Lonchura striata: one gene and its partners. The protein of the gene in region 1 purifies or fractionates together with the protein of each later gene. This does not show direct contact. Links are inferred from orthologs where the notes say so. Each region holds a gene or a part of one and is shown in the gene's direction. Other genes may lie near its edges. The genes, in order: ARPC1A, ARPC5, ARPC5L and ARPC3.

Evidence for each region.
Region 2: the proteins of ARPC1A (region 1) and ARPC5 fractionate together in Homo sapiens (co-fractionation; 8 studies listed by BioGRID and IntAct, counting the BioPlex papers as one, with this or other methods). This does not show direct contact. The link is inferred for Lonchura striata from reciprocal best matches to the Homo sapiens genes ARPC1A and ARPC5.
Region 3: the proteins of ARPC1A (region 1) and ARPC5L fractionate together in Homo sapiens (co-fractionation; 7 studies listed by BioGRID and IntAct, with this or other methods). This does not show direct contact. The link is inferred for Lonchura striata from reciprocal best matches to the Homo sapiens genes ARPC1A and ARPC5L.
Region 4: the proteins of ARPC1A (region 1) and ARPC3 purify together in Homo sapiens (affinity purification with mass spectrometry; 8 studies listed by BioGRID and IntAct, counting the BioPlex papers as one, with this or other methods). This does not show direct contact. The link is inferred for Lonchura striata from reciprocal best matches to the Homo sapiens genes ARPC1A and ARPC3.

Annotation. Positions count from the first base shown.
Region 1 is NC_134618.1:14,882,126-14,889,648, forward strand, and holds the start of ARPC1A (actin-related protein 2/3 complex subunit 1A), read left to right. Parts: upstream 1-4,523; 5' UTR 4,524-4,663; intron 4,664-7,523. UniProt on the Homo sapiens protein: Probably functions as a component of the Arp2/3 complex which is involved in regulation of actin polymerization and together with an activating nucleation-promoting factor (NPF) mediates the formation of branched actin networks.
Region 2 is NC_134611.1:27,704,147-27,712,154, reverse strand, and holds the start of ARPC5 (actin-related protein 2/3 complex subunit 5), read left to right. Parts: upstream 1-4,997; 5' UTR 4,998-5,035; coding exon 5,036-5,179; intron 5,180-6,039; coding exon 6,040-6,111; intron 6,112-7,753; coding exon 7,754-7,930; intron 7,931-8,008. UniProt on the Homo sapiens protein: Component of the Arp2/3 complex, a multiprotein complex that mediates actin polymerization upon stimulation by nucleation-promoting factor (NPF).
Region 3 is NC_134624.1:10,673,439-10,681,433, reverse strand, and holds the start of ARPC5L (actin-related protein 2/3 complex subunit 5-like protein), read left to right. Parts: upstream 1-4,990; 5' UTR 4,991-5,045; coding exon 5,046-5,185; intron 5,186-5,284; coding exon 5,285-5,366; intron 5,367-5,633; coding exon 5,634-5,810; intron 5,811-7,476; coding exon 7,477-7,539; 3' UTR 7,540-7,995. Other genes in the region: RABEPK (rab9 effector protein with kelch motifs), read right to left, coding at 1-29, 178-327, 505-654, 856-1,017, 1,102-1,254, 1,325-1,461, 1,637-1,695; PPP6C (serine/threonine-protein phosphatase 6 catalytic subunit), read left to right, coding at 1,819-1,893, 2,025-2,120, 2,211-2,276, 2,594-2,735, 3,088-3,167, 3,281-3,490, 4,152-4,400. UniProt on the Homo sapiens protein: May function as component of the Arp2/3 complex which is involved in regulation of actin polymerization and together with an activating nucleation-promoting factor (NPF) mediates the formation of branched actin networks.
Region 4 is NC_134620.1:12,738,833-12,746,781, reverse strand, and holds the start of ARPC3 (actin-related protein 2/3 complex subunit 3), read left to right. Parts: upstream 1-4,943; 5' UTR 4,944-5,048; coding exon 5,049-5,054; intron 5,055-5,839; exon of another isoform or gene 5,840-5,925; intron 5,926-6,077; coding exon 6,078-6,177; intron 6,178-7,137; coding exon 7,138-7,214; intron 7,215-7,478; coding exon 7,479-7,547; intron 7,548-7,817; coding exon 7,818-7,944; intron 7,945-7,949. Other genes in the region: DENR (density-regulated protein), read right to left, coding at 1,105-1,125; GPN3 (GPN-loop GTPase 3), read left to right, coding at 397-444, 521-629, 1,252-1,419, 1,836-1,960, 2,614-2,729, 3,017-3,113, 3,473-3,601, 3,992-4,054. UniProt on the Homo sapiens protein: Component of the Arp2/3 complex, a multiprotein complex that mediates actin polymerization upon stimulation by nucleation-promoting factor (NPF).

The DNA of each region.
Region 1 (7,523 bases):
CTCACTGTTTCACCACTTGGGAGTTTGATTGGATGATTCTTACAGGTCCCTTCCAGCTTGATGTGTTCTGTCATCACACAATGGCACTTGGTGCACACCAAGAGCATTTTCCCTCTCCAAAACACCTGCTGCAGGAAGCACATGTTCATGTTCAGTTCATACTGACAGCATCCCTGACATGTGGACCTTTGTAGACTTGGATGCACTTTTTGAGACAGTCCCTGGAATGTGTGCATCACTGTCTACAAAAGATTGTTCTCCTCTACCCTCTGTGCAACCCCTTCCTGCTCTCAAGCACAGTCTCTGATGTGGGCACAGACATGAACACACAATTTATAAAATACTTATTAACTACAACTCTTCAGGGTCATGCCCGTTCTCCTCACCCTGATGTCACCATGCACAAATATCAGATGTGTTCCAGGTCAATTTTGCAAAGATTCCTTTTGCTAAATCAAACCATTTCTGGTACAGGAACAGAGCCTGGCCAAATAAAGGAAGTCCATGCAGGAAGTGGAAGATGCAGAGGAGAGGGAGATGGGATGGCTCTAAACAAACTGCACATCTGGCACTGTGTCTCAGGCTTTGCTTCCTGGGGAGGTTATCCAAGGCCTCAACCCTCTTCCTCTGTGCCAGTGGCTCAGGGAAGCTGGAGCTCCCATGTCTGGATCTACCTGCCATGAATTTATTAGAGCAGAAAAGGGTGTGGGATGGAGATGAGGAAAACATAGGTGTGTTCCCAACACCAGCTGACTCATGCAGTTCCCTGAGAAAGGGAACACAGATATTCCACAAGTCTCTTTAGGCACAGAGGTACTCCTGGAACAGTTAATGGATAGTACAGATGTTTTCACTAATGGTAAGACAGAAAGGGAAAAGAAGCAATATCCTTCTACTCCCCAAATGGGTACACAGTAAGGACTAAATCTTTTCTCAAAAGAATAGAACACAGAAAAAGTGTGAAAGAATCTGCAGACAAAAGAATTACCTGTGTGTCAGACCCAAAACCTTGCAAATAATACACTCCTGCTACATCTGGAATGATTGAACACATCCAACATTTTGTGATGGATCTGTGCTAACAGAGATTTAAGATTTTTCAAGTCAAGGATGGGAGATGTGATCCAAGTAATCTCTTGCAAATAATTCCTCTCATCAATAGCCTTTATTCCTAGTCTTATTAAGGTTTCGTGTATGGGGAAAAACTTGTATTTTTCACAGTGAGATGGCAGAACATCGTATTCTGTTCAAACTCAAGATGTAAGGCATCACAACAGGAGGGCAGAGAGCACAGAAACAGCAAATTCAAACAGCTGAGAGGCTAAAACAGCTCCTCTGGCAATGCACACCTAGAATGCACTCAAACCATGACTTTTCATTCACCAGTTACCTGTTTGTGTATCAAACAGCATGCTTCCAGAAGATCTCTTTTTGACTAGCTGCTACCCTGTAGCTGAATGAGGATGTCCCAGCTTAAATCTTTTTTTCATATATACCTTAAGGTCAGATTGCATTGAAACCACTTTCACTAAAATCAGTTCAGCCTTGCTTGTGAGGCTGTAATCTCAAAAACATCAGCATCCTTCCTGGATTAGCACAGAGCACTTGTATCAGCATTACAGCAGGAGCAGTGGTGGAAAAGTCTTTGGGAAGCTACACTGGAGACAGGGTCTTAGCTTTTAATGCTTAAAACCTCTGCAGAGCGCCTCATTTAGATGCTCTCCCTCCATCTGGTGAAAGTCATTTTGCAAACATAAAACCGTACTTAAAATGTAATTTTGTTGCAGTTACATAACTCTGCTCGGCCTAGTTGTGTGGTTTTAATCCCTGCAGCTGGGGCAGGTTCATTGTTAAGCCAATAAGGGCTGCACTGATTACACATCTTGCAGGCACAGAGCCACAGGACCACTGACAGAGGCCACCCACTCCCACTTCTTGAATACAAGACCTTTTACTGCACTTTTGCCATCCTGACAAATATTTCAGATCCATTCTTAAAAACTCCTCAGAGCAGCCCTCCATCCTGTAAAATCAGCTCCTAACACAGGGCTTCACTACTTCAAAATAGTCACTGGCATTTTTTTACCCAGATCTGCCTTGTTGTTATCTCTGTTTATGACTTCTCACCCTACCCTGTGGCCATAAGAGAACAAATTATTCCTTTCCTCAGAACGGCAGCCTTTCATCTATTCCAAGACTATTCACATCTTCCCTCAGTTTTCTGTCCTCTCAACAGGCTCAGCTGAAGTAATGTGTTCAAAGAGCCCTGATCATTCTTGTCACCTTTTTCCCCAAATCATCCACATTTCTCTGGTGCACAGGACTCTAATGCTCTTCTAATGCAGCTCAGCAGAGCTGGATTCTTTTGTGTGTGTTACTCAGATTTTCTTACCCACATGGGGCTGTGTGGAGTTTACCTCATCTGCAAAAAGATGGTTTTTGTTCCTGTTCATCTTTTGACCCTCAGCATCCCCTCCACCCTTCCCTGCAGCTGCCCTATTCCCAGTGGTGTAAATTTGAAGCTGATGGTGTTGGAGTGAACAGCAGTGCACCTGCTGCCCAACCACATCCCATGTTTACCTCAGAGCTCCTGTTTTGAATCCTGGTTCTGCCACTGTGTTTATTCTGAACTCAATCTCTGTTTCAGATGCAGTAATTGCATTATTGCATCACAGATGAGTAATGCACAGGTAATTCCCTGTACAAGCACTGATATTAAGTACTTCTTCCCTCAACCAGTTTTGCAACTCCTTTAGAGCAGTATCATCTAGACTGGTTTCCCAGTTTATTATTAGAATACCCTGCAAGCCAGTGTCAGAAACTCTACTAAAAATCAAGATATATTACATACATTGCTTCGCCCTTATCTGCAATCCTTGTTATGCTGCCAGAAGAGGAAATTAGATTGGCTCAATTCATTCCTGACAAAGCCATACTGGCCAGCATTCACCTTCTTTTTTTCCTTTGAGATGCTTATAAATTGTTTATTTTCTCTCAGACTTGAAATTAAACTCACTACTCTATTGCTCCTCAGTATATCAGGGACTCATTTATCTCTCCCCATTTTCCCAGACTTTTTTGTTCATTATTGTTGTACTTGAGCTCACAAAATCTCCCAAGTTTGAAGGAGAAAAACTATGAGACCCCAAAGAAGAGGCAATTCCTCTAGGGGATTAAGAGTAGGGCAAATTATTGCTCATTAACTTATTTTGATATTCCAACCCTCAATCATAGAATCATGAAATGGTTTGGTTGGAAGGGACCTTAAAGATCATCCAGTTCCACCCCTCTGTCATGGGCAGGGACACCTTTCACTGTCCCAGGTTGCTCCAAGCCCCATCCAACCTGGCCTGGGGCACTTCCAGGGATCCAGGGCCAGCCACAGCTTCTCTGAAAATCTATGCCAGGGTCTCCTCACCCTCACAGGGAATAATTTCTCCCCAGTATCCCATCTAACCTTGCCTTCTTTCAGTTTGAAGCCTTTTCCTGTGTCCTGTCCCTCCAGGCCCTTGTCCAAAGTCCATCTCCAGCCCTCTTGCAGCCCTTTTAGGTCCTGGAAAGGGCTCTAAGGTCTCTCTGGATCTTCTGTTCTCTAGGCTGATCACCCCCAGCTTTCCCAGCCTGGCTCCAGAGCAGCCCTGTCCCCTCCAAGGACATCTTTCCCTTTCAGGGACAGTGTGGCCAGCAGGACCAGGGCAGTGATCATCCCCCTGTACTCAGCACTGGTGACACCACACCTCGAGTGCTGAGTTCAGTTCTGGTCTCCCATTCAAAAAAGACATTGAGGTGTTGGAGTGTGTCCAGAGGTGGGGAAAAGGCTCATGAAAGGTCTAGAAAACCTTATGGCTGAGGGAACTGGGTTTGTTTAGTCTTGAGGAGACTCAGTGTGGATTCATTTGCTCTCATATTTGTGGCATTTTATCTCCATTATACCGGTGATTATACCAGTACAGGTTCTCTGTGATGTATCCTGTAGGATGGGTTGTGAGTGCTGGTGTTTGGAACCCCAATCTCATGTGTGTGCCCAGCACTGTGGCACCTCTGTATTTTGGGACTCATCTACTGGGAACAATTAATAACCAACACCTTTGGTTTTTTCTCCTCATAGAAACAACCCGGCAGGAGGAAACACCTTCTTTTCCCCCTGTTTTCTTTCCTTGTTCTTCTGGCTGACTACAGCAGTAGATCTGAAAGAAGAGTGTATTGAGGTGGGATCCAGCCTCATCTACCCTGCCTGCAGTGAGGAAAGGACTGAAGGAAATGGCCTTAAATTAAAGCACTGGAGAGTCAGGTTAGATGTTATTATCTTTTTTTCACTACTTGGGTGGTCAGACATCGGAAGAGCTTACTAAGCGGTGGAGTGACAACTCTTGGAAGCGTTTGCGGCGCTCGTCTGACGCGGCTCAGGGCAGGAGGGCACCGACAGCGGGATTTCGCGACCTCAAAGCCGTCCCCCTCAGGCGCCAGCCGCGGCCGGCCCGCCCTGAGCGGCCGCGCAGGCGCCGCTCCGCCCTGCGCGCGGGGCGGGCCGGCGGCGCAGGCGCCCAGCGCGTTTCCTGCCGCCCGTGTCCGAGCCGGGCCCGCTCGGCCTCTGCCGCCGCCGGAGCGGAGTCGCGTTGACTGCCCAGAGTCCGCGAGTCCCGCTCCGCCCCCGCCGCCTCAGGTGAGTCCCGGCCGCGGGAGGCTGCGGGCCCGCCGGCCTCAGCGGAGCGCGGGGGGAGGCGCGGCAGCATCGCCGCGCCGAGGGGCTGGGGACGCCCTGCTGAGGGTGAGGCGGTGGGCGCCGCTTCGCCGTGAGGGGCTGAGGACAGGCGAGCTGCCCCCCGTTTCCGCCGCTGAGCGCCCTCGTTATCCCCCGCCGTGCCCCTCGCGGCCCCCGCCGTGCCCGGTGCTGGCGGGGCCGCAGCTCACGGTCCGTGCCCATCGCGGCGGGTTTGTCGGGCTGACGGCGCCGTGTGCCGGGAGGTGCCCGAGATGAGCCGCCCCCCTGCGAGATCCCCAGCACTGACAGTGCTGGGGGCTTCCTTCATCGCAGGTGCTTGGCTTCCAGGGGTTTGGAAGTGGTGTAGGTGCTCTGAGGATGGATTAAAAGCATCCCTTTCTCGCTGTCACACACAAACATTCCGTCTCCACTTCTGAGTCCGTATCCTGGCTAGTTGTTCATCCATTCACCATATATTTCTCACCCCAGAGAGGTGACAGCAGCTGAGTGCTGTACATCCCAGCCTCGATCCTTTTCGGCCTTGAACAGAAAGAGCTTCTCTACAAAGGCGCAAGATTTCCTTTTTTTTCCTCCATTTAAAAATATTTTATAAAGTCAGTTGCTTTCCCTTTGAAATAAAACTGAGGGAGAGCTGCATTAAGTACTTGGTAACAAAGTCATGCCAGTATCTTCCCCACGTGAGATTCTGGGGTTGGATGACAGGAAGGCATTGAGATTACCAAGAATTATAAAGCCAGCAGCATTTTCCCTAGTGAAATGCAAGCTAGATTTTGTCTGTCTATTAGTAATGAATAAATATAACTAGAAAAGTTCTTTAAGATTTGTCTTCTCAAAGAAAATATCACTGTGCCTATCAGGAGAGAGAAATAGCAGTGCTTTTTGAGGTTATCATCATTGTGTTTTATGGGTTTGTAACCAAACCAAAATAGAAAAAGGTGGCTTGTAGCCAGTTGTGGAGCTCAGGTAATTCAATCAATGGGAAGGAATAGATCATACAACTTTGGATAGGTTTTGGGAACAGCTCAGGATAAATGCCTGAACTAAGAGTTAGGGTGGGACCATATGTTATATGTAATGCCAGTCTGTGAATAAAATACTACAGTTGTATTAGAAACTGTTTCAAAATAGCTGCATTCCTTGGGGAGAGGAGAGTGGATTTTTTTACATTTTATTTCGGAAAGAGTAGCAAAGGCTGAGAATTCCTTGTTGGTGGAACAGCTCTTGAACTTTTCCTGTATATGGAAATGTGCTGCTACTGAATGTTGGCAAGATCCTGGAAAAAGCACTTTGCAGTTGTGTTTTGCTTCCACATGTGGAATCTCAAATGATGGATGTCCAAGGGCAGAAGTAACCCAGATGATGGCAACATTTTCACATTAACAAACAATAATTAATTATTTTGCCCAGGACTGTGTGTATTTAATACTTTATTTGATTGGTGGAATGTGATTATTATAAGAACTGTGAAAATCATGCTGGTTAAAATTATGAGCTGGGCTAAAAGCTCATATTGTTAAAAGTTGTATTTCAAGTACATTTGAAATGCACCCATAATTTGCATATTTTTAGAATAACAGTGCTCAGTTTCCTTAAACAAATAAACTAAATAAAGTGAAAAGTCTCTCCACTTACTTGCATTGGTGAAATACTGTCTCACCTCTGCTCCAAGATCCAGCACTTTCAAGGTATTTGTTAAACTGATGGTGTGACAGTAATTCCTGAGGCTCCCTGAGAGCATACTCATCCTTCTTTCACTCCCAAGTTTCTGTTGGATTGCCATTCATTTCCTGTTTGCTTCCAAATTCCTACCTTGTCCTGAAGTCTCCACCCTCTGCTAACATGGCCATACTTGGGTATGTTGTAATTCCAGGCTGTAATGGGTGTGGATGTCTTGGAATGACATCACGGAGATAGTTCTTTTAAGATGGATATGTGGGGGTAAAAATGCTTTGATCCATCAGGCAGTGATAAATTGCTGTGAAAATTAATGGAATATAAGAAAGGAATTGACAAGTCCAAGTTGGATGTATTGAATTGTGCACATTTTTGTTATTACAGGTGACCCTGAGTTTTTATGTTGTTATATTCCATCAGTTCATGCTGCTCTGGTTAATACAGCACATAGAATACTATATTTTAATACCTAAAGTATTTCAATATCTAAAATATTTTAATATCTAAAATATTTTAATTTCAAAAATATATTACTCTATGCCCTATATTAAACCAAAGGCAGCATAAATGGATGAAAGATAATATAATAAAAACATTTTAAACAACTTTGTGTCTGTGGATGGATGTGCCTCCAGTTGCATATTTTCAGCAGTGTCTCTTGTAACAACCATCAGTTACAAGAAAATAATAGGCATTTAGCCTTTTTTAAACATAATACTCAAAAACTACAATGATCCAGCTTGTTCTAGTGTTTGAATTTCATGGGGCAGAAGCTTGATTATCAAACAGTTCAGTGCTAGAAGTAATTTGAAGAAATTACTAATCAGTTAATTACTAACCTTAGTGATTTTTTGTAGGATACATATAAATTGTTTTATCAAATAATGTATCAGCAGATCACAGTTACACATCAGTTTGGCTTCCTGAAAAAAAGATTTTGTTGTAGTGCTGCCTGTGAGCCTGGATACAAGTCAGGCTTTAGAATCAGTTCGCTGACCTTTGTCCTAGATACTTTTATTTTTGATTGTTCCATTTCCATAGTAAAATTAATAGATTTATTAGATTTCTTGAGGACCTGCTCTCTTGTCTGTGAGGATACACAAAGAAGCAAGTGTATCTGGCTTTT
Region 2 (8,008 bases), on another chromosome or scaffold:
CAGATCTTGCTTCTTCCCTCATATCCTTTGTTTCTTATTTTTTAAACCTTAGGGCTGCGCAGGAACGTCAAGTCTCCGGCTCATTAGGGGGCCATGTGACTGCTCTGGACTTTGAACTCAGATAAACTCCCTACTGAATGAAAATGTGTAAAATGCTTCCAGCAGAGATTATTTTGCACCAGGCTGTACTAAGAAATGCAGCAGAATTTCAACACTCACATTTCAGAGGCACAGAAGAGAGGAACCATCCTTGTCCTGAGTGCAGCGTTTCAGGGACAGCTCCAGAGTGTGCATCCCTTTCCCCCCATACAGCAGCACTTATACCAGCCTATGGAAGCAGATCATGGTTTAGTTTGGGGAATAAAACATTCTGATTCCATATAATCACACATCAGCTTCTGTCTAATCAATGCATACAATTTTGCTTTCAAAAGACATCTTCAGAAATCCCAAACCCACACATTTAAATCAGTAAAATCACATCCAAACTGGCCACATTGGGATGGATCAGAATTTCTGCATGCTTTTTAGCCTGGAGAGATACCAGAATTTACCTAATATTTGAATAAAGAAAAAGAAAATCCCAGCCCTGATCATTAGGGTGTTTTTCCCTAGGTGCAGAACATATGTCTTGGATCCTGGCTCACTTCCAGACAGAGTCATTAGGGACTCTTCTCCCTGTGGTTTTCACTGGATAAAACATTCCTCTCCAGTTCCTCCTGTGAACATTTGTGCCATGTCATGGGGCACTAATCAGTCATTCCTGCCCTCTGCCCCAGACAGGCATTTTAGCAAAAAGTTAAATAATTTCTAAAAGTTATAATTATATCCCAGTCCCCTCCAAATATAGTTGGGAGGGGCAGAGATAGAACTATAATTTTAAGTATAATTGGATAGATAGAGAGAGATAAATATGGATCTGTTAACACTCATTTTGAGCTCCTAGGGATCCAACAGACACCATCTCCTGTATCAGAATGGTGGCTCATGGAGAGGAACAGCATTGGCAAAGGAGCCAAAGGCTGATGCTAATGCTGCACGTCCAGAAATGCACTTTGGTTGTGGGAACACTCTTCCAATTAACCCATCCAAAGAGGTAGTTTGGGATTTGACTCCCATCCTGTAAGGATGTGATACTGTTGATTGAGGAGATTGAAAATTTGACGGGTTTTGACCAGGACGAAGCACCAACCAAAGATAAAGAGGCAGGTTTCGGGGGGAGATGTAAAATGTCCGGTGCCTCTGGTTGAAAAGCTCTAGAAACACTTAAACAGAGCTGGAGAAGCAAACGGCTCCATCCGAAAAACAACACGCATCCCTGAGGTGCGACATTGCCATCATGCGGCCATCCCAACTCTGCAGGAACACCAGCAGGGACAGCAGGAATGGGAACCTTATCCCACACTCGCAGCTTTCTCAGTTGTCTTTAGCACTGGCAGCCTGCAGGAGAAGTGGCGGGGGTGACACCCTCTCCTGACACCCCTCTGCAAAGGAAAACACTCCTTTCTCCGCACCTGCCCTCCTTTATGCCAGGGAGCAACGGCATTTTCTATTTCCCGGGGCACGGCACTGCCAGGGTGACATTGCACTGCACACAACAGAGCACGGCTGACCATCCAAAATGTGCAGAAACACCAGAAACGACAAATGGACCACTCCTCATGTCAGGAAGCCAATCTTTAGGAGAAATCTGAATGAGAACAGCACAGTGGTCTGGATCAGGAAGGAACTACAGCACATACATACATGAAAATATATGAGGACAATACACAGAAGTTACTATAGAGTCAGAGTGGAAAGCAAAGCAAATTTTAAAAATTATGAATTTAAGGAAAAAGTTAAATACAGAGGGCAAAACGGTGGTATGCAAAAGTGAGCTGTGATAAAATGTGCAGATGGCTATGTTTTACAGTGGAGCAGCAAAAGAATTATGAAGATCCAAGAATGATGAGGGGCAATGAGAGCAGCAGTGAAGACAAATAATTTCCTGCTTGAGCCAATAGCTGTTCACCCACACAAAATTTGTGTTTTCCCTCCTCTGGCACCCTGGTACAAAGCATGACTGAGCTTACTCACAGAATGACCCACTGCTTCCTGGAATTAAAGCCTCAGGGACGGGAACACAAACTTCCGAAGAAAGGGAAAACCTTGGTGCAGAAGTACAACAGGAGTCTTCTGTCCAGCTGGCACACTAGATAAACACACAAATCATTTAGAAAGAATCTCAGTTGGACATTCCTTAGAACACCCAGATTTCAGCTATAACAATATTGTAGCAAAACTTCACTAATAAAAGAGGGCTATAGTATCACTTGAGAAATTAAAAAATAATATTGACAGGCACAGAACAGACATTCAACTCCCACAGATGCCTGGCCCCACAAAGGCAAATTCTGTTTGCCTTCCCATCTCCCAGAAACTGGCACCTGGAAACATCTAAAAGAACCTGCCTGCTGCCACCATCTCAAACAGGGCCAAGCCTTTGCACTGGGAAAGATCCTGCTGCATGGAACTGCCCAGACCAGGGAGGAACCTTCTTCTGCACCACAGAATTTGCAAAGATTGTAACAGCCCTAAAGTGGAAACTTTAAAAGCCACTGAAGGAAATCAGATAAATATTTGCTATTACCCTGAGCTGGACCTGGTAATGACACCTTTTTAAGTTCTTTTTGCATGTTTTTGTTTTTTTTGCCAGATTGAATCATGGAATCACCTGTAACAATTCTAAAAAGTGTGGCTGTTTCTATTGTACAGTTTTTCCTCTATAGGGTATAAGGGAAAATTTTACTCTTTATTTTTAGCAAAAAGTCTGTTTTGTGAATAATGCCTCCAGGCTCCAAGAGTTTTGTTCTCTGTGTCATCAACCAAGTTTCCATATGCTGCTACAAGTTTCAGCAGCTATTTGAAGAGACTGTCCACTATTTCTTATGTATAACACACTTTGTGTGTGCCATCATGGGGGCAGCCCCTCGTCACCCAGCTCTGCCAGCAGGTACACAAAACTGACATCAAATTAACTTAACAGGAATTAAAACATCTTTTAGGACAGCTTTTCCCCAAGGAAAGCAGGGGAACTCAGCTGGACAGCAGAATTTAAAAGCCTTTTCCTCTGTCACCCAGCCTCCCAACAGCCTTTCCCAGCCTTGGAAGACATTCTGCTTCCTCTGATGTCTCCAAGACAAGGAGGGCTTTTCCCAGGTGCATTTCTGCCCTCTCAGAAGGAACAGCTTATAGCCAAGATGCAGAAATATAGTAAGGCATTCAAAAATGCCAAAGGAATAATTCAGTGGAAGTCCTCATTCGGAAGCGTTTCCCTGTGGCACACGCCTGCTCTGAGGATGGCAGAGATCCACCCACTTTTTGGTGTGAAACTGAGATCACAGATGGCAAAAAACACCAATAAAGTCCCCTCCAGCCAAATTTAATCCATGGAATAACTGTGGGTCTTAAATAATGGATTATGAACATACTTTGGTTTTAATCCTCAACCTCTTAAGCCAGGGCAGTAAACCCTGAACCTCAGTACTCCCTGCCCATGGCAGGCAGTTGGAACTACATGACCTTTAAGGTCCCTTCCAACACAAACCATGCTGTGACTCTCTGACAGTCTATTTACCTCCTGCAATTACTTTGCTGCCCTTAAGCCAATTTCCAGCAGAAAAATGCCAGCAGTCCCAAGCTACAGCCACAGTTCCAACTGGACTGCAGCTTCCCAAGCTGAGGCAACTTTGGGGAACATGGGACATATCCTAAATTCCTCCTCTATCAAGGAGGTGGGTGGTCCTGCAGGTAGGGCTGATACAGGAATAAATTACAGGGGTTAGTGGTGGGTGTAATATGTGTATCTATATGTGTGTGTGTGTGTGTGTGTGTGTGTGTATTTTTTCTTCCAGGGCTGTTGTTTTCTCTTAAGAGGAACCTCACAAAGCTGTGTCATTTCCTAATTAATAATAGGGTAATTATTATCTACAGAGGCTAAGTGTAACTTTAAAAAATTACAGGCTGTGGCTATTTTTTAACTCTCAAGGTCACTAGGTGCTGTTGGAGTAGGAGCTCCCTGAGCAATCCAAGCAGGGCAGCTCCCACCTCACTTGAAGCTACACGGGTCCTGCCCAGCCTGGCGCTGTCCTGGGGTGGACAGAGGGACCCAGACAAGCTTGGGAAGAGGCTCGTGGGAATCTCATGGAATTTAACAAGGCCAAGTGCTGCTGCTGCACCTGGGTCGGGGCAACTCCCAGGATCAGTCCGGGGAGGGGGCAAGCAGATGGAGCAGCCCTGGGAGGATTTGGGGGTGCTGAGGGTGAGAGCTGGAGCTGCCCCAGCCCTGAACCCCCTGCCCTGGGCTGAGCCCCAGCGTGGGCAGCAGGGGAGGGGGATTCTGCCCCTGTGCCCCGTGCTCAGCTGAGACCCCACCTGCAGAGCTGCCCCAGCACAGGAGGAGCTGGAGCTGCTGGAAGAGCCCAGGGGAGGCACAGCATGGTCACAGGGAGGGAGGAAAGGATGGGAGAGATGGGATTGTGCAGCCTGGAGCAGCTTTGGGGTGACCTCACTGTGACCTTGCAGTACCTGGAGGAGCTGTTGGGAATCCCGAGGATACACTATTTACAAGGGTCTGGAGTGACAGAACAAGCAGGAATGGCTTCAGAGTCAGTCAGAGCACGGTGACAGTAACATCAAGGTTGTGGCTTCAACTCCGGTATGGGCCATTTACTTAAGAACTGGATTCAGTGATGCTTGGGGGTCTTTTCCAACTCGGAATACTCTGTGAACCTGTGAAACTTCAAACTGAAGGAGAATAAGTTTAGCCTGGCTATTGGGAAGAAGCTGTTCCCCGCGAGTGAGGCCCTGGCACAGAGTGCCAAAGAAGCCGTGGCTGCCTCAAGTATCCAAGGCCAAGGTGGTGGGAGCCGGAGCAGGCTGGGCGGGCCGCGCCCTCGGGTCCCCCCGGCTCCCCGGCCGGGGCCGCGCTCGCTGCGCCGGCGCCGCCGGGCGGGGCGGGCCGGGCCGGCCGCGGCTGCGCGGGGCGGGCGCGGCCATGGCGAAGCACACGGTGTCCTCGGCGCGGTTCCGCCGGGTGGACGTGGACGAGTACGACGAGAACAAGTTCGTGGATGAGGAGGACGGCGGCGACGGGCAAGCGGGGCCTGATGAGGGCGAGGTGGACTCGTGCCTGCGACAATATCCTGAGGGGAGCGGCGGGGGCGGAGCGGGCGCGGCCGCCGCCGGGGCGGCCTTGTAGGGGAACAGCGTGAGCGGCACCGGTGGGCAGGGAGAGATGGGCGGAGAGGGCTGGAGGGGATGGGGATGGAGGGGAGCGGACTGGAGGGGAAGGGACAGGCGGGGAAGGGGATGGAAGGACAAGGGAGGATGCTGAAGGGGGAAGGGGCTGACAGCAGGAAGAGTCTGGCAGCAGGAAGAGGCTGAAGGGGAAGAGGCTGAAGGGGAAGAGGCTGAAGGGGAAGAGGCTGAAGGGGAAGAGGCTGAAGGGGAAGGGGCTGAAGGGGAAGGGGCTGGCAGGGGAAGGGGCTAGCAGCAGGAAGGCGGCCCAGCTTCCTCCCCTGCCCGCAGCAGCCGCAGTGCCCCGGGGCCGCGCTCAGGGCGGTGTCCCGGGGATGCAGACAGGGCGTTCCTGTGCCCAAAGAGTTCCCGTGCCCGCTGCCAGGGCTGCCTCGCCCAGCTGGCCCTTGGTCACTTTTCCCTGGGCTGCTGTCCCAGTGGCTGCTGGGGCTGGATGTGACAAGCTGAGATCTGTTCTCGGGGGCTACAGATTGCAGAAGTGATGGAGAATGGTTTCTATTACTCATTCAGGGAATGGCCTAGGAAGTATTCAGCAGTCCCGGAACTATACAGCTGCTTGTTGATGCTGCTCCTGCCTCAAATGGCCTGAAAATTGCTGTCTTAGGCTGTAATGTCTTCTTAGCTGGTGAGGGAATCCCTGCATCAGAGTGTTTTCAGTCATGCACAAGCCAGCTACAAATATAGCTGTCCTGGTACTTGATGTCCGTGTATTTGGTGTCTGGTCCTTAACCATCTGGCACAGGGAACATGATGGCTGCACTGCAGGCAGCTCTGAAGAACCCTCCCATCAACACAAAGAACCAGGCAGTGAAGGTAAAATAGCAACTGCTCGCTCATGGGTTACTCCCTAAAAATCCTTTCCTGTCTCTGTTACTTCTGTGCCACTAGTTGTACCTTGAGGAGGCAAGAGGAGCAGAATTTAGGGTGAAACATCCATGACCACAAGTGTTTTAATCTTGTTCAAAATACTGTAGCTCAGGTACAGTACTGTCCACGTACCTTTACCTTGGTGCTGGATCAGGTGTGGTTCTCCTGCCAGTGCTGTTTGTGTTTTGTGTGCCCAGGTGTCATCATGTGCCTGTGTCTGCCTCAGACCACACATGGCAGCTCACAGATGTAATCCTTGTGTGCTCAGGGAGCCAGGGTTGCAGTTGTCACCTCTGACTAATGAAACCACCAGCAGTGAGCCTACAAAAAAGGAAGAATTGTTTTTTGTCACATCCAATCAAAATGAAGCTGTTAAACCTCAGGAAAAGCAAGTCCTCCCCCTGTGATAGTGTGGGAGTCTGCTGGGTATGTGCATTTCTGAACATCCCCAGGATGGATCCTGAATAGCTCATGATTGCAGTGGTAGGAGGAACAGGCTGATAAGATATGGCAGTGCCCAGCTGGTGAGTGCCTGCAGTTACTTCTCCGTGCCCAAGGAGAGGCCCAGGGGCATGGCTCCCTGCTCCATGGTTCCTGGCAGAGCTGTTCCTGCAGCCCCAGCCCTTTCCTGAAGGGTTTTACAGAGCTCTGAGAACCAGCTGTTACAAATAGAGCTGTATAGCTTTGTCCTCACATTAATGACTTGTTTCCATTAGCCCTCTATTGAAGGATTTAAGAATACATTTGGTGGTGGAATTGAAGAGGGTAGAATGACTGAACATTAATACCTGTATTAATTTTTGGTTATCTTTGGAACTTAAATAATTTTACTTACAGTCATGTGAGAAGTCTTGCTAAAGCAAGTGATTATGGAGTATTATTAAATTGGGCAGGAAAAGTGACATCCACAGTTTCTGTAGGGGGAAGGTGCCTGACATGTTTGTACGATGGAATTATTCAAACGTCCAGCAACCCCGAGACATTTTTCTCTCATCCTGCCTCAGTTAGTGATGGATGAACAGGAGGAGCTGCTCCTTGCTGATTGCATGGCTAATTGCTGCTGTAAGCTCACCTCACACATTCCCAGGCCTGAAATGACATCCAGATCAAACGTTATTAATTCTTAATATTAATGGCCAGTCTGCATCCAGTGTGCCTGGGACTGCTTGGAAAGCACGTGGCTTCCAGCAGTCACCTCTTCCAATGGCATTTCCCTGGATCATAATGGTTGTGTCACGTTAAACAGTACAGAGGTATGGAAAAGGCTCTAGTGGGAAGAGGGGCCAGATAAGCACTTGATTGTTATAATTATTTTGGAACTTGATACATCTTGAGCTTCCAAATGAACATTTACTATTTAGCTATAATTAAGGGGCGGAGAATTGCAAACACTCACAGAGGCATAAAAACTAAAGGAGGGCGAATGTGTTAAACTCTTTTACCTTGTTTATCCTTGAGAGGATGTGTCTATTAATCTTTCTATGACAAGCTCTTCACACACTGTCCTCTTCAGAGGTGTTAAAGAAAAAAATGCAGTTTGGCTGTGCCTCTCACCAGGATGGTTGTGTCTGTGCCTGCCTGTTGACAGGATCGTGCTGAGAGCATCGTGCTGAAGGTGCTCATCTCCTTCAAAGCCAACGACATTGAGAAGGCGGTGCAGTCTCTGGACAAGAACGGGGTGGACCTGCTCATGAAATACATCTACAAGGGCTTTGAGAGCCCCTCTGACAACAGCAGTGCTGTGCTGCTGCAGTGGCACGAGAAGGTGCGTGCATGGGGACAGCTCCTGCCACAGTGCCCAGGCCCTGAGCCTGGCCAAAACTCCCTTCCTGGCTGGTGAGAC
Region 3 (7,995 bases), on another chromosome or scaffold:
AAACTGCAGGAGTGTCCAGTGCTGCCTTCCTGCAGTGCAAAGATACAGTCACAGCTTTAAACATCACACAGCAGACAGTGACACCATGAATTAAAACAGTTCTGAGCATTCAGTCCTGCAGCAGTGTAACTTCAGTGCCTGGCACCTACCCTGGCACCACTGAGAGCAGCCTCCTACCTGTGTGATACTTGTACGTGGTGTCCAGTGGCCCATCTGGACCTATTCCACCAAAAATGTACAAGTGCTCCTGGAACGCTGCCGAGGAGTGGGATGCCCGTCCTCCCGGGACATCCCCGGTGGCCGGGATCTTCTCCCATCTCAAGTCAGCTGATGCAGGAAACAACACCTCTGCAGTTATGCATTACACAAACCCCACACATTTCCTTGATTTAAACAAAGAAGGTAATACTTAAAGCACTTAAGAACTAGTATTTCAGGAAAAAATGTCCCCCCAAATCAAAGCACTTCGCTCACAGGTGCTGCAGTACCTCCATCCACACTTACTGGTATCAATGCAGAACAGGTCATTGTAAAAAACATCTCCAGCTAAACCCCCGTGGATGAAGAGTTTGGTCCCAACTGCAACCACGGCGTGTCCGTGCCGAGGAGAAGGGGGATCACCACGAGTCTCAGGCTGGGACCAGCTCAGGGTGGCTAAAAATGGGAGTGCATGTGCATCAGGAAGAAAACTCCGGAAATTCTACAGACCAGCAAGCGGGTCTGAATTCCCAGTGAGCACATGAACATAAGGGCCTGTCAAAGGAAGAACAGCCACCATCCCGTGGGACTCGCCCCCAGACAACAATCGCAGCCCCCTGACACAGCCCAGAGCTCCATCCCGCAGGTGGGAGGTACCTGTGTCGAACACGTGCAGCCGCTGGTCTTTCACCGGCTCTGCCCCCTTGTCTCCACCGCCGAACACGAACAGCCGCGCCCCGACGGCCGCCGAGGACGAGTGGAATGTGCGAGGTTGTGGCTGCTCCCCCCTCACTGCAGGGCTCTCCCACGTTCCTGTTTCTAGTGAAGACATTCGATTAACCGAGCAACCAGCGCGGGAGCAGAGGCCCAGCCCGTCCGGCAGCCCCGCTCCGGGGCACTCACCGGGGTCCAGCGCCTGAACGCAGCTGCGGTTCCCGGCGGGGTGGGCTCCGCCGAACACCCAGAGGCGCGGGGCGCGGCCGGCGGGCAGGAACGTGGCGTGCTCGTAGCGCGGCCTCAGCCCGCGCCAGCCGGCGGGGACCCAGCGCAGCGGGGCTGTGGAGGGGACAGGCGATCGGTCCCGGTCCCGGTCCCCGTTCCGGCCCCGGCCCGGCCCGGCCCTCACCCAGCTCCAGGAAGTGCGCGTCCGCGAAGGCGCCGGCGGGGTCGGCACCGGCCAGCAGCAGGACGCGGCCGGGGAGGAGGAGGCAGCCGAGTCCCACGCGGCCGCGGGGCCGCTCCCCGCAAGGGCTTAGCCGGTACCTGCGGGACGAGGGCGGCGCTCAGCGCGGGCTGGGCCGGCCCGGGGCCCGCCGGTTCCCCCGGCCGCTCAGCGCTGTGCCCCCGCCGCGCCCCCAGCACCCCCGCCATGCCCGCCGCGCTCAGCGCTGTGCCCTCATCACCCCCGCCGTGCCCCCGCCGTGCCCGCCGCGCTCACCACCGTCCCGGGCGCGGCCGCCGCCCCGGCTGCAGCAGCGGCAGCGCCCACGGCGCCATGGCCGCTGCCGGGCCCGGCCGGAAGTGCCGCCGGAAGTGCCCCGCGCTTCCGCCCGCGCCCGCGGCGCGCTCCGCCGGCCGGAAGTGGCGGGCGGGGCCCGCCGTGCCCGAGCCCGAGCCAAGATGGCGCCGCTGGACCTGGACAAGTACGTGGAGATCGCGCGGCTCTGCAAGTACCTGCCCGAGAACGACCTCAAGGTGCGGCCGCGGCGGCGGGCCGGGGCCAGCCGGGGCGGGCTGGGGCCGGGGTGGGCGCTGCCGGGCGGGCCGGAGCGGGCGGTGCCGGTGGTCCCGGCGCTGACCCCGACCCTGCCCCGCTCCTCCCGTAGCGCCTCTGTGACTATGTTTGTGACCTGCTGCTGGAGGAGTCCAACGTCCAGCCCGTCTCTACTCCCGTCACCGTCTGCGGGGACATCCACGGGCAGGTAAGGCCGGGCCGGGCCGCTCCCGGTGCAGCCCCGGGCCGGGGCCGGTGCCGGTGCCCGGTGCCCCCTCACGCCGCTCTCCCCCCGCAGTTCTATGACCTGTGCGAGCTGTTCCGGACCGGCGGGCAGGTTCCCGACACCAACTATATCTTCATGGTAGGTGCGGCCGGGCCGCGCCGGGTTTGACAGGGCTGGGGGGAAGTCCCGAGGGGCTCCCGAGTCCCGGGGCCGCTGCTGGCTCCTGCCCCCAGTTGTGCTGCCGGGAGCCCGGGGGTGAGGCAGAGCATCCCGCCCTGCCAGGCTGTCCCGGGTCAGCTCAGGACAGCGGTGAGGGGAGGAGAGCCCCGCGGGTCCCGCAGATCCCCTGCCCTGCAGCGCCGGGTTCTTGTGGCACTGAGGAGCTGGGGGCGGATCTGTCACCGGGCACTTTCCCGTGTGACTGTCGCTCCAAGTGCCGCCGTCTCTGCCTCCAGGGGGACTTTGTAGACCGAGGGTATTACAGCCTCGAGACGTTCACATACCTGCTTGCACTAAAAGCCAAGTGGCCTGACCGCATCACGCTGCTGCGAGGCAACCACGAGAGCCGGCAGATCACCCAGGTGTACGGGTTCTACGGTGAGTCCTGCCCGGGAAGCACGCTGGCACCGACACGGGGCCGGGGCTCTCGGGGCTGGCTGGGACACGGGCTGCAGCTTGTTACTGGTGACAAGGTCACGGTGCTTCTGAAATGGAACGTGTCTGAGGCAGATCTCGCTGCTCTTTTCCTCTGGCACGTGGGGTTTCTGCTTGTGTTGTGCCACGTTCAGTGGCACAGGCAGAGCGTGAGGTTCTTGCTCCCTGCTGCTGGTGCTGGTTCTGGGCAGCAGCAGGACCCAGCACAGAGCTCATGTGACACAGCTGAGCATGCAGGTTCTGCCGTCAGTGTTTCCCCGAGATCCAAGAGGAACAAACCCGTTCTCTCCAACAGATGAGTGCCAAACCAAATACGGGAACGCCAACGCCTGGAGGTACTGCACCAAAGTCTTCGACATGCTCACGATAGCAGCTGTAAGTGCAGAGGCCAGGCCAGCAGCGGTGGGGTCCTGGCAGGCGCTGCAGGCTGAGCTGCAGCTCCCCGGCAGCGCTGCTGAGGGCTCTGTGCACGTGTCACCTCCCTGCAGCTAATAGACGAGCAGATCCTGTGCGTGCACGGAGGCCTCTCCCCAGACATCAAGACCCTGGACCAGATCCGGACCATTGAGCGGAACCAGGAAATCCCTCACAAAGGCGCCTTCTGCGACCTGGTGTGGTCGGACCCGGAGGACGTGGACACGTGGGCCATCAGCCCGCGCGGGGCGGGCTGGCTCTTCGGGGCCAAGGTCACCAACGAGGTAACGCTGCTGCTCGGGGCCACGCAGCCCGGGGTGGGGATGGGGGAGCCACGGGCTCAGCTCAGGGTGGTGCTGAGTGCACCCAGGGCACTGCAGGACACCAAACTCCCCCGTCACGCCTCTGCCAGTAACTCGTGGCTTGTGCCAGATGGAAAAAATGAGCCACTTCAACCTAAAAGCACAAATGTAACTGCCAGATGTACTAATGCCTATCTTGCTTTTGAAAAGTCTGATGTGGTGGGACTTACTTGTGTTCCTGGGCTGTCTATGGAATGGTTTCCTAAGGATCTAGGAGAAGAATACCATTTTTTAAGCAATTTTTGAGTTAATTTTATTGTGTCTGTGCTGAGCAGACTCCTCAGGGCTCTACACACTGGCCTTGGCAGGCTCTGACCTGGCCACATTCAACTGCGTTGTCGTGTGGCCCTGGCACAGCATGTTAGGAAGGCTTGAGCCTGGGGACAGCACAGCCCCAGGACTCATGCTGTTCCTCAGAGCTCGGGTGTCGCCAGCCGTGTTTTACAGGGGTTTCACAGGGGTTTCTCAGTGCTCTCACTCCTCCTGTTGTGTTCTCCATGCTGCTGTGTGCGGTCAGGCCAGGAGCAGACGTGGTGTGGGCAGCAGCCGCTCGGGCCACGCTGATTTTCCCCTTCCCTTGCAGTTTGTTCACATCAACAACCTGAAGCTGATCTGCAGAGCGCACCAGCTCGTCCACGAAGGATACAAATTCATGTTTGATGAGAAGTTGGTAACGGTATGGTCAGCTCCCAACTACTGCTACCGCTGCGGGAACATCGCCTCCATCATGGTCTTTAAAGATGTAAATACAAGAGAACCAAAGTTATTCCGCGCAGTTCCAGACTCAGAGCGTGTCATTCCTCCCAGGACAACCACGCCGTACTTCCTCTGAGCCCTCGCCCGCCTGCTCTCACCTCTCCCTGTCCTGCCCCTTTTCAATATACTTTTTATTGAGCACTTTGCTGCTGAAATGCTGCCTCTTGCCTTTTTTATTTTTAAATTATCTAAATTTATTGTGTATTATGGTGTCTGTAGCAAGTTTTTTTTTCCCTCGCCCCTAGATTAATTTCAGAGTATTTGTAATATGTCCTTGAGATTTGTACTACTGCATGTAGTCCTCGCCTAGTCCTGGGTTAGATGAACCGATTCCTTTAACCACCACGCTCCGGGAGCCGCTCGGGCCCGTCTCTTGTTCACTTTTTGTTTTTGCTAAGTTTTAAGAAATTTCAGCAGCAAAGTCAGCGCGCGGCGTGCGGCGGGGCCGGGGCTGCCCGTGCTGCGTTCACGGCGCAGGACCGAGCCAGCGTTTTCCGAGTGTTACGTGGATCCCAATAAAGCGCTCCAAGGGCTGTTCCGCGTTCCCGGTCTGTCCGTTCTGCGCGGGATCCCGGCCGGAGCCGCGAGCGCTGCAGCGGCGGGACGCGTACATTAAAGGCTGGTTGGGATTTTCCCGGGCTGCGCTGTTTTTCCGGGCGGGGCGGGGCGGCGCCGCGCGTTCCGGTTCCGCCGCCGCTTCCGCCGGGGCCGGGCGGCGGCGATGGCGCGGAGCACGCTCTCGTCCCGCTTCCGCCGCCTCGACATCGACCAGTACGACGAGAACCGCTTCGTGGAGGAGCCCGAGGAGGCGGCGGCGGCCGAGCCCGATGCCGGCCCCGAGGTGGAGGCGCTGCTCAGGCAATATCCTTTGGGCCGGGGGTCCCGGGGGTCCCGGGGAGCGGCCGGGGCGGAGCCGCGCTGCGGTCCCGCGCACGCAGGTCCCGTTTGAGTCCTTGACCGCCGCCGCACGGGCGAGGCGCTCCGCGCCTTCCACGCCGCCATCCGCAGCTCCCCGGGCAGCAGCCGGAGCCAGGCCGTGAAGGTACGGGCCGGGGGGGACAGCGGCGCCCCGCCGGTCTGAGCGGCGCCCCGCCGGTCTGAGCGGCGCCGCTGCTGCCGGCACAGCCCTGAGCGTGCTGGCACGGGCATCCCGCCGTGTTCACCCTTCCTCCGCTAACCCCAGGTCTGCTCACCGCGCTCACCCAGACAACCCAGCCTGGAGCGTGGCCACCTCTTGCCAAACACGAGTCTTGGGATCGTTTCCAGCTGTTCTCGTCCTCACATTTCTCTCTTTGCCTTGTCTTCCCAGGAGCAGGCGCAGGGAACGATGCTTAAAGTCCTCACATCTTTTAAAAGCAGTGAAATAGAACAAGCGGTGAATTCCTTAGACAGAAACGGTGTTGATTTGTTAATGAAGTACATTTATAAAGGATTTGAAAAGCCAACAGAAAACAGCAGTGCAATATTACTCCAGTGGCATGAAAAGGTACGTGTTGGGGGCACTCTTGGCTCGCTCGCAGGGTCCTGGCCAGTGGTGGTTTCAGGAGAGCCCCTGAAGAGAAGCAGGTGGGGCAGGGCCTCATCCCTGAGGAGGAATGTTTCCTTTTACCTTTGCTCACTGTTTCCTTTTACCTTTGCTCTCTCTGAGCCTGCATTCACAAAGCCTTTGCCTGTATTTCAAACCTTACCCTCTGCCATGGGAAGAGGAAACTTGCAGCAGGGAGTTCTCCTTGTGCTGCCTTTGGCCCCCAGGGCAGGCAGGGGCTCCAGCAAGGAGAAGGGTGGGAGTGGAGATGTGATGGGATGGACGGGGCAGCTGCAGCTTCCTCTGGGGCCGAGCTCAGGGAGTCAGGCTGGCAGTTTGCATCAGCTGAGTCACAGGGTTTAGCAAACCTGTTTGGTTTGCCCAGGAGAGGATTTTGAGGTCTCCAAAGATTCCAATGGGGACCAGCAGGGGCCTCTTTCGTTCCTCTGGAATGTCAGCTGTGAAACAGGGAGTGTGGGATGTGTTCAGAAGCTGATACTGCAACTTTCTTCCCTGTGTGTGATGGGCCCAGGCACATTCTGGGTTGAGGCACAGCCCTGAAGCAGCTGCTGGGTGCCCCTGCCCCCGGGCAGGAATCCAAGTGAAGTCTTCCCCCCCTGCAGGGGCTTTGGCTGAAGCCCAGGCTGTCAGTGCTCCTAGGAAAACTGATCCCTGGGCACACTGCAGCTCCCTGTGCAGGGCAGCTGCTGTGAATGCCACTGTCCTTTCCCGAGGTGCAGAGCTTTTTCCTGCTGTACATAAAGCTGGTGTAGCGTGACTCCAGCTATTGGCTGCTGTCACCAGCTTTGCCAGGCCTTGACAAGGGAGGAGAGAATTTCTCGGGACAGCAAGGAACATGTTTCTGCTTGGTTTTTTTTCTTTTTTTCCTGTTGTTTCCACTGAGGTGCTTTCAGGTAAGCGTGGGTGGTGCTCCCAGCGTGGGAGGTGACACACCACCACCCTGACTGATACTCAGAGCGTGCAGGGACATGAAAGGCATCTCATGCTCTCTGTTGTGAAAGGAACAAGGCAGGTCTGAGTAGGCAGGGTTTAAAGCCTGGTGTCCTGCTTTGTGGCAGTACTGGTAGGACGTGTGGCTTGCTCAGATCATAGTCAGCTCAGTGGTAGTACCAGTCTGTCCTCTGGAAAAGGCCTGTGGCAGGTCTGGTAGCTCAGGAGCTTTCACCTGCCAGTCCTGCTCCAGGTGGGTGCTTTGCATTTGTCTAGTCATGTTTCCCAGCTCCACGTCTCTTCTGCTCTTGTACTCTGTAGAGCAATCTACTGGATTGTGGTTGCAAAGTAAACACCCCACTTCCAGCAGTCATCTTAAAAATTTATTTTCTTCATAATCACCTCCATCTTCTAGACTTCAGAAGGAAACACTGTTCATATTGAGGGACACAAATTCAACTGAAGTGAGCCCTTCCTCCTCCTCCTCAGGGATACAGGAGGCGAGACATTCTGCTCTGTCAGTGACTTGCAACACTGGAGATGCAAAAGATAGTTAGATTGTGGAGAATTACAGTTTCTAGTTTTGGAGAAGAGCCATAGTCCCTTCTGTGCTAAACTCTTTGATGTTTGTTCTGTGTGGGACGTGGTGACTCTTAACCTCTCTCCTTTCCCACAGGCACTGGCAGTAGGAGGCCTGGGCTCCATTATAAGAGTTCTCACAGCAAGAAAGACTGTCTAAAGACTGTTAACTTGGACAGAGGTGACGGTCAGGTTTGGACTCAGAAGAAGGAATAAGCTGAAATTACACTGGTCCATCTTTATTAGAGATTGCAATCTACTGAAATCCTACAGTAACCTCCTCTTGGAATGCTTTTAACCTTTAAGGTGGGGGAAGAGTAAAGGTATTCCTGCATATTCCGACTATCACACACAGGAGCCAAGACATTCTCCTGCTCCCTTCTGTAACGGGCAGAGAGAAGGCACACTCCTGCCTCCTACTGCTGTAAGTGAACAGGTATTTCAGATGCTGCTTTAGCCAGGTGTGGTGGTACAAGCTCCGTGTGTCCTGCTTAGTCCCGAGGTAGCTGTGTCCAGGCTGGGATCCTGCAGCTGAGGGTGGGACAAGGGCTCTTAGAACGTGTGGGTGAAGGACTCTTGGACTCTGGTGTTGGCTTAATGTAAAGTGAAGTGCCTG
Region 4 (7,949 bases), on another chromosome or scaffold:
TCGGGTACCTGAGGAGGGACGGGCTGGCGGCGCGGGGCGGTGCCGGCGCTGACGGAACGGAGGGCGCCGGGAGGATGCTCGGTACAAGCACCGGGGGGATCCCCGCCAGGGGCGGAGCGGGAGCGGGCGCGTGTGGGAGCCGGCAGGCGGGGGCTGCGCGGGGGGGCCCGGGGGCGGTGTCGGTGTTACCGGAGGCCCCTCGGGCCGCGGCGGGTCCCGGTCCCGGTCCCTCACCGCGCGCGCACGTGCGCCCGCCCCAGCGCCGCCGTCTCGCGAGAGGGGCGGGCACGGTTTGACCCCGCCGGCTCGCCGTACGGCGGCGGGCGGGGCCGTGCCGCGGAGCCGGCCGGGCTACGGGCCGCCGCAGCGGCCATTCCCCGCCGGGCCGCCGCAGCCATGCCCCGGTACGCGCAGCTGGTGATGGGCCCGGCGGGCAGCGGGAAGGTGAGCGGGGAATAGCGGGGAAGGGCGGGCGGAGGGAGCTCCCTGCCGGCTCCTGACGGCCGCGTGTGCCTTGCAGAGCACGTACTGCTCCACCATGGTGCAGCACTGCGAGGCGCTGGGCCGCGCCGTGCAGGTGGTGAACCTGGACCCGGCGGCCGAGCTCTTCAGCTACCCCGTCATGGCAGGTGAGCGGCGGCCCCGGGCACGGCTGGGCTCCGGCTGCCCCGAGAGCGTGCGACCGGACCCGTTCTGTCCTCCAAAACGGAGCCCGTGCAGCGCCGGGGGAAGATGTTGGAAAATCGTTTTAATAAAGTAACGTGTGATCCGTAAATTAAGGAATAATTCTGGTCTGCTGGCAAATAATGCTCAGTGCCTATGTCAGAGGTTGATGCACTCTCAATCCCTGTATTTACCTACACCAGTGATTGATAGGTACTGGCAGATGCCTCAGTTTCAAGAAAAACAGCAGTGTTTGTATCTGAACAAAGATGATAAAAGCACACCCTGACCTGCCCACATAGATGAGATACTTTCAGGAGGAGATATTCATTAGACCATAAGAGGAAAATCTTGGGGAATGAGATGTTTCCTAGACAATCACCAGGAACCCTCAAAAGACCCTCCCCAATAAATCCCGGGAAGTATTTAGCTTATATTTACCTGTTTAACTTTCCTGAACATAACGTGTTGTGTTTGGTGCTGGCTGTGCCTGTGCCAGGGAGATCCCCCTGCACCCAGCACTGCTGTGAAGTTTCCTCAGCTGCCAGAGTTCATTCCCTGCCTTTGGGGCCGTTTGTGTTGTCGCAGACATCCGCGAGCTGATAGAGGTGGACGATGTCATGGAAGATGAGTCCTTGAGGTTTGGCCCCAATGGTGGCTTGGTGTTTTGCATGGAATACTTTGCCAATAACTTCAGCTGGCTGGAGGAGAGCCTCGGGCACGTGGAGGATGACTATGTTTTGTTTGATTGCCCAGGTAAAGCCACACCAATGTTTTGGCATCACTCTTCATAAGCGTTGGAAAATTCGCAAATTGGAAAATGTGGTTGTGGAGGTTGTGATAATTCCCATTTTGTTCAGCTATTATCAGTTGTCAGAGTCACTTTCAGGTGTCTCAGGAGTGAACTTGGTCCTGGGCTGATCTGGGTGACTGCGCAGCTATTTGGTAGCATCATGAGCTGTGGCAACTGCAAACTAACACTAACTGGGGACCAAAGGAGGAAAAAACCTCCTTTTATTTCTTTTCTATTTCACTCAAACACAGGCTTCCTCAAAAGAAGGTGCTTTCCTTACTAGTTTTTATTTAAGTGCAGTTCCCATGTCTAAATATAACTGTGTACTGTTCTTGTTTGCTTCACATTCCTACCTGTTAACATCCTGAGTGTGCTCCAGGTCAGATTGAACTCTACACACACCTGCCAGTGATGAAACAGTTGGTGGAGCAGCTGCAGCAGTGGGAATTCCGTGTCTGTGGAGTTTTCCTTGTGGATTCTCAGTTCATGGTGGAATCTTTCAAGGTATCCATTTGAAATCTGTTGATAAAGTTCATTTTAATAAAGAACAAGAAGTCTTAGCCATTCAGGGAGCTGGGTTTGCCCAGAGGGAAAATTGCCAGGTGCAGGGAGATGTGGTTGCTGTCATCAGCTGCCTCAGACACAGCCTGCAGCAAGGACAATCCCAGGTGGATGTAAAGCAGCACTGGGAGAGTGAACAGACTGGGACAGGCACAGAGGGATTGTGCAGTGAATGTTCACAGAGTCAAAACTTGACTGGGCAAACCCCAGAGCAGCCTGCTCTGACCTGGAAGTGCTTCTGTTTGAGCAGTTGTAGGAGCCAGATAACCTCCAGAAGTCCCTTCCAACCTAAATTCTTCTGTGATTCCATGAGAGCTTTCTCAGATCCCAAGAACAAGCAGGCCACCATCCCCATTTAGCAGTAACTATTCCAAGAAGGGTTTTGGTTTTCTTAATGTCCTTTTCAGTGGCAGATCCATATTTGAGGCTCCAAAAATTTTTCCACTTCCTCTTTTCAACAGAGAGAATGATTCCTCATATGGCTTTGTGTCCATGTTCCATATATTCATTACCAGATTTGGCCTGTGGTTGAGTGTCCTGCATGTTTGTGTTCTGTTTTTGTGTACTTTAATACATCATTTTTCATCCTCTTCAAGTTTATTTCTGGAATCCTGGCAGCCCTCAGTGCAATGATATCTTTGGAGATTCCACAGATTAACGTCATGACCAAAATGGATTTGCTGAGCAAGAAAGCCAAGAAGGAAATAGAAAAGTGAGTTCCAAAAAATTATTTACTCTGTGGTACAATATACTGAAACAAAGTTCACTTGAGTCATGTTTCCCACAATTAAAACCTACTCATTTGGAATGGGAGAAGATGGATTTTGTTTCAAACAATAATCTCTAAACATTGGGTAGGATGCTTAATTTAGTCAGAGTCAGAAAAATAGCTCCATGTTTGTACTGATCTCTGGCTATTTCTGTAAATAATTATCTTGGATCTTTTGTGTCACTTTGAATGACAGACTTTCAATGTTGATGATGACTTTGTTTCTCCAGGTACTTGGATCCAGATATGTATTCTATGATTGAAGATTCTACAAATATATTGAAAAGCAAAAGGTTTAAAAAACTGACCAAATCTATATGTGGATTGGTAGGTACATTGCTTTTGAGCTAGTGCCCTAAAATTCACTATCACTTTTTGCTTAACTAATATTTTTTTGTTTTTTCAGATTAGCATGAGATTCTTGATACTACTGATAAGATACTCTTGATATCTGGATTATAGCCAATACATTTTCTTTGAATTCTTTTCTGTCGGCAATTTTGGGAATTTGCTGCTGCATAGAATTTAGGATTGGTAGCCAGGTGTTCTGAGTGGGGAACTGGGAATTGCCATTGGTTTGCAGTGTGAGTTTAAATGCTATTTTAGAAGTCCAGAAAAGAGTGGTTTAAGGAAGAGGCTTTGAGTGCTGTGATTGAGAATGAACTTTCTGCATTTCCCTTCTGTAGATTGATGATTATGGCATGGTTCGATTCCTGCCTTTGGATCGCTCTGATGAGGAAAGCATAAACATCATTCTGCAGCACATAGACTTCACCATTCAGTATGGAGAAGATCTGGAATTTAAAGAACCAAAGGTAAGGGACTGTTGCTGAGAAGATGAAAAATTAGAAAGTATCCATAAGAGAAGTTGTGATATAAGTATGTTCTTTGCTTTGCTAATAAATTATTCTCTTTGTACGGTTCAAAATAAGCTGTGTTTAGTCTTTCAGTGGTAATGCTTGTATCATCTTCATTTAGTTATAGAAATGAAATTCTTTAATATAATCTTGCATATGCAGGTTGATCAAGTGGTTGTTTAAAAGTATTGGTTTGGTTTTCAAAATTAACAGAGTTTTAACCTTCAAATACCAGAAAGGACCACTGAGATCACCAAGATTTTTTCCTGCATGACTGTTCAAAGTCCCCTAATGATTCCTGTGTTCAGACCAGGAAGGTTTATGTTTTTCTGGGGTTTTTTTTGACAGGAATGTGAAGAAGATAAATCTGCTCTTGTGGATGAATACTTTCAAGATCATGTGGATGAGTAAGAAACATGTTCAAACTCTGAGGAAAATACTTTGTTTTTGATAAAAAATAAAAATAAAATAAAAACCCCCCAACCCCTACACAAACACGCCTGATGTTTTATCTGTAAAATAACTAATATTTATAATGGAGAGTGAGTTATATGACCTCGTAACTACTTTAATAAACAATTTTTTTTACTATGCTTGGGTGTGTTATAAAATACATAGGCCAGTGTTAGTACATATAAACAAGCAGAACCAGAAACGGGCAAGAGGTTCAACAGACCAGCAAATCCTCAAAATATATTGAGGAAAAAGACTCAGAAAAATCTGTATGTGGCAGGTCTTGATCTGACTGAATTAAACCATTCAAAAGCTGGGGAAACCACCGTGGTTTAATTCACCTCCAGACTGCCACTGGGACGAGCCACGCTTAGGGCATGTTGAAAGGATAAACCCCAGCCTTGCAGTTGAATTATTGTGACTCACCTTCCAAACCTCCCCACTTTGTCTCCCTGACTCATGCCGGGAGTCAGATACCAGGGAACAATTTCAGCAACGCTGGATATCAGGGAAGCAATTGATAGCAATTTGAGTGTGCACCCTAAAATAGTGTGTCCCTCTGAACACAGCGCGTTTGGACCCGTTTTGTGTTTCCTTGCACGAAGTGCCGTGCTGGAAACACCCAGGGGAGAAAACCAGCGGCCAGCGAAGCATCCCGGGACCCCTTCCCCGAGCGGGCGGTGCCCCTCCCGGGACCGGCAGTGCCCTGGGACAGCAGTGCCTCTCCGTGGCCGCTCCCCGTACGGGCAGTGCCGGGGCACGGCGCTGCCTCCCGGGATCCCTTCCCGGTGCGCTGCCTCCGGGGCGGTGCGCGGCTCCTCCTCGCACCGCCTCTGCCGCTGCCTCATTTCCTGCAGCGTAGCGGAGGAGGAAGCTCTGTGCCCGCTGTCCTGCCCGGCTCGCCCCGCTCCCCTCCCGCCCGGCCCCGCCGAGCCGCCTGCTGCCCTTCGAGATGCCGGTGAGCGGCTCCGCGCCCGGCGCCGCGCGGCCCCGGCGGCGGCAGCGCGGGCGGGAGGGCGCGGGGCGGCGGGGCCGGGGGCGGCGATCCCGGCCGGGGAACGGGCTCTGCTCGCTGCGGGGTCCGGCCGGGGCACTGCGGGGGAACGAGGGGCTGCAGCTGCGGGGAGCGCTGCTGAGAGCGGGGATGGCTCTTCATGGGAGGCTGCTGCAAGGCAGCGCCTTCCTCTTCCTCTTCCTCCTCCTCCTCCCCCTGCCAGGGATCCACCCGCAGCCGGGAGGGTGCGAGCCCCGGCAGCAGCGGGGGAGAGGGCGGTCACAGCAGGGCTTTGCCCCGGCTTTGCTCACGCCACCTCTCAGTGAAATAAACTGCTTTTTATACATCCAGCCTCTCCCAGTCACATCCTCCTCTGCCCCCCCACAGAGGGTGGGTTGTGAGATGAGGGATTCCCAGTGGCTTGCACAGCACCTTGGAAAGTGCCTAGAACTAAACTCCTTAGTTGTTTAAAATCGGTTTTTCAGGGAGAATTTGTTGTATGCGGAAAGCTGGTTTGTTTGTCACTTAAATCACTTTTGTTGCTTTTGTTGATTTTTTTTTTTACTGCACTGAGCCTGCTTTTATTTATAATTATCTACTATTAATAGCCAGTCGTGGAATTAAATTACCTATTTTTTAATGACCAACTAACTTTCAGTGCAATGCCCCAAAACTCAGGCAGGTGAGCAGGGCTGTTACCCCTTGGTGCAGCCAGGATGGGGTAACAGGATGAGGCAGCCTGGGGATGAACTGTGCCTGCAGACCAACAACACAGATTTTATCCCATCTCCTGGTGCTTTCCTGGTCTTCACCAGAATGGCACTAAGATCTGGACCTAAAGAGAAAATAGCAATTGCTTGTGCAAGGAAAAAATGATGGAAGCATCATAATGAACTAGGCTGTGACTCCTGTTTGATGAAGACATGTGAATGGATATGGAAATGTCCATTTTCAGTAGGATCAATAACCAGCTCTCCCTGTCTCTAGGCTTACCACTCCACTTTAATGGACTCAGACACCAAGCTGATTGGGAACATGGCACTGTTACCCATCAGAAGCCAGTTCAAGGGCCCAGCACCTCGAGAAAGTAAGATTATAATAATCTCTGAATTACTGGATGTAGCTCATCACCTCAGGGGTTGCTCTAAGACAACCCCATTAAGAGTGATGAGAAGAATCACTGGTGGGAAATAGAAAGATTCGCAGTTTAGAGAGGAGGAAAGTTTTCAACTACTTCAGTTGTGCAAATTGTAGAAAATAATTATGCACAGATAATTGTGCTCCGTGTTGTGCTGAGTTAGGGGTTTCAGTAATCCAAGCCTCTGGCTGCTGTTCTGGTGCCTCCCCCTGTGCTCCTGAGCAGGGTTTTGAGGAGGCTGTGGTGGTGTGAAGCCTCTGTGTCAGAGGAAGTGGTTCAGCTGCAGAGAACTCGTGCTCTGGGCTGCTCTGAGGGACAGCAGCACTTACGGGTGTGGGGCTTCAAAAACTGCAGTGAAGTTCCAGGCACCCCGAGAGGGCCCACAGGCACACGTTCCCTTTCAACACCTGAACTTCCCAGGTGTGGTATTCCCCAGAAATGTGGGATTCAGTTTGGAAAGGGAAATGGAAAGGAAACGTTTCTGGATTTAAGCAGTCTTGGATGGTAACAAAGGTCAGATTGTCACTGTGTTCTGCCCCCCTCCTTTATTTGAAGAGGATAATGGAATCCGAGTGATGTGCTTTCTCCAAAAACTTTTTTTCTATCCTTTTATGATGTTAAAACTGTGATGAGTTACTCAAAAGTGGTAGAAAAGTGAGGAACTGCTGAATTGCTGCTATTTGTGAAGTGACATATCAGAGGGGAAGGAGAAAGGAGTAGGAAGCTTAAATATTACAGTCTGAACTCATGGTGTTTCAGAAGTTTTCTGTTACGTGGTGCTGACTTCTGCTTTTTGTAAATACCATGGTTTTGTTCTTGCAGTAATCCTTATTTATATATTTCAATGAGTAAAAGTTATGACAAATGTAGTGTAACAGAGCACTCCTTAACTCTATCTCTTCTTTATAGCTAAGGACACAGATATTATAGATGAAGCCATCTACTACTTCAAAGCTAATGTTTTCTTCAAAAATTATGAAATTAAGGTAATTTTTTGAGATACTGAGTATATTCTAGTTCTTTGGAGGGTTGGTTCTGTGAATATAAATTTATTTTCAAGGAAGTAATTTTAAGAAGATCACAAAAACTCCCCTTCCACTTAATCTTTAAAGTTGGGTAAATGTCATGAATTGCAAATCTCTCTCTCATGGGGAAACTATAGCCCAAAATGGCTTGAATTAATTCCTGTTTCAGACTTTATCAGTTCCACAAAGTGCTGTCATCTAAGAGTTCCTGCTCTTGTTTTGCAGAATGAAGCTGACAGAACACTGATCTATGTGACCCTCTACATTTCTGAGTGCCTGAAAAAGCTGCAAAAGGTAAGAAAACTGAATTCCTGTGCAGGTGGGAAACAGTCTGTTCTGAGAATTGTTCTAAGGAAAGGATTTCCTGATATTCTCCTTCCAGGGGAACAGATAATCCTGTTCACCCCAGTCCCAGTTGTCAGAGCCTCCAATACCTCAAGGCTGTGGATGTGCTGTGTTGCTCTTGATGAGTATTCATATTCCAGATTTGTAAAATATTTGGGTCTAATGCTGTGTCAGTTTTTGTTCATAACTGCTAACCCATTGTTTGCCTGGTTCTTCCAGTGCAACTCCAAAGGCCAGGGAGAGAAGGAAATGTACACACTAGGAATCACTAACTTCCCAATCCCAGGGGAGCCTGGCTTTCCACTGAACGCCATTTATGCCAAACCTGCCAACAAGCAGGAGGAAGGTAAG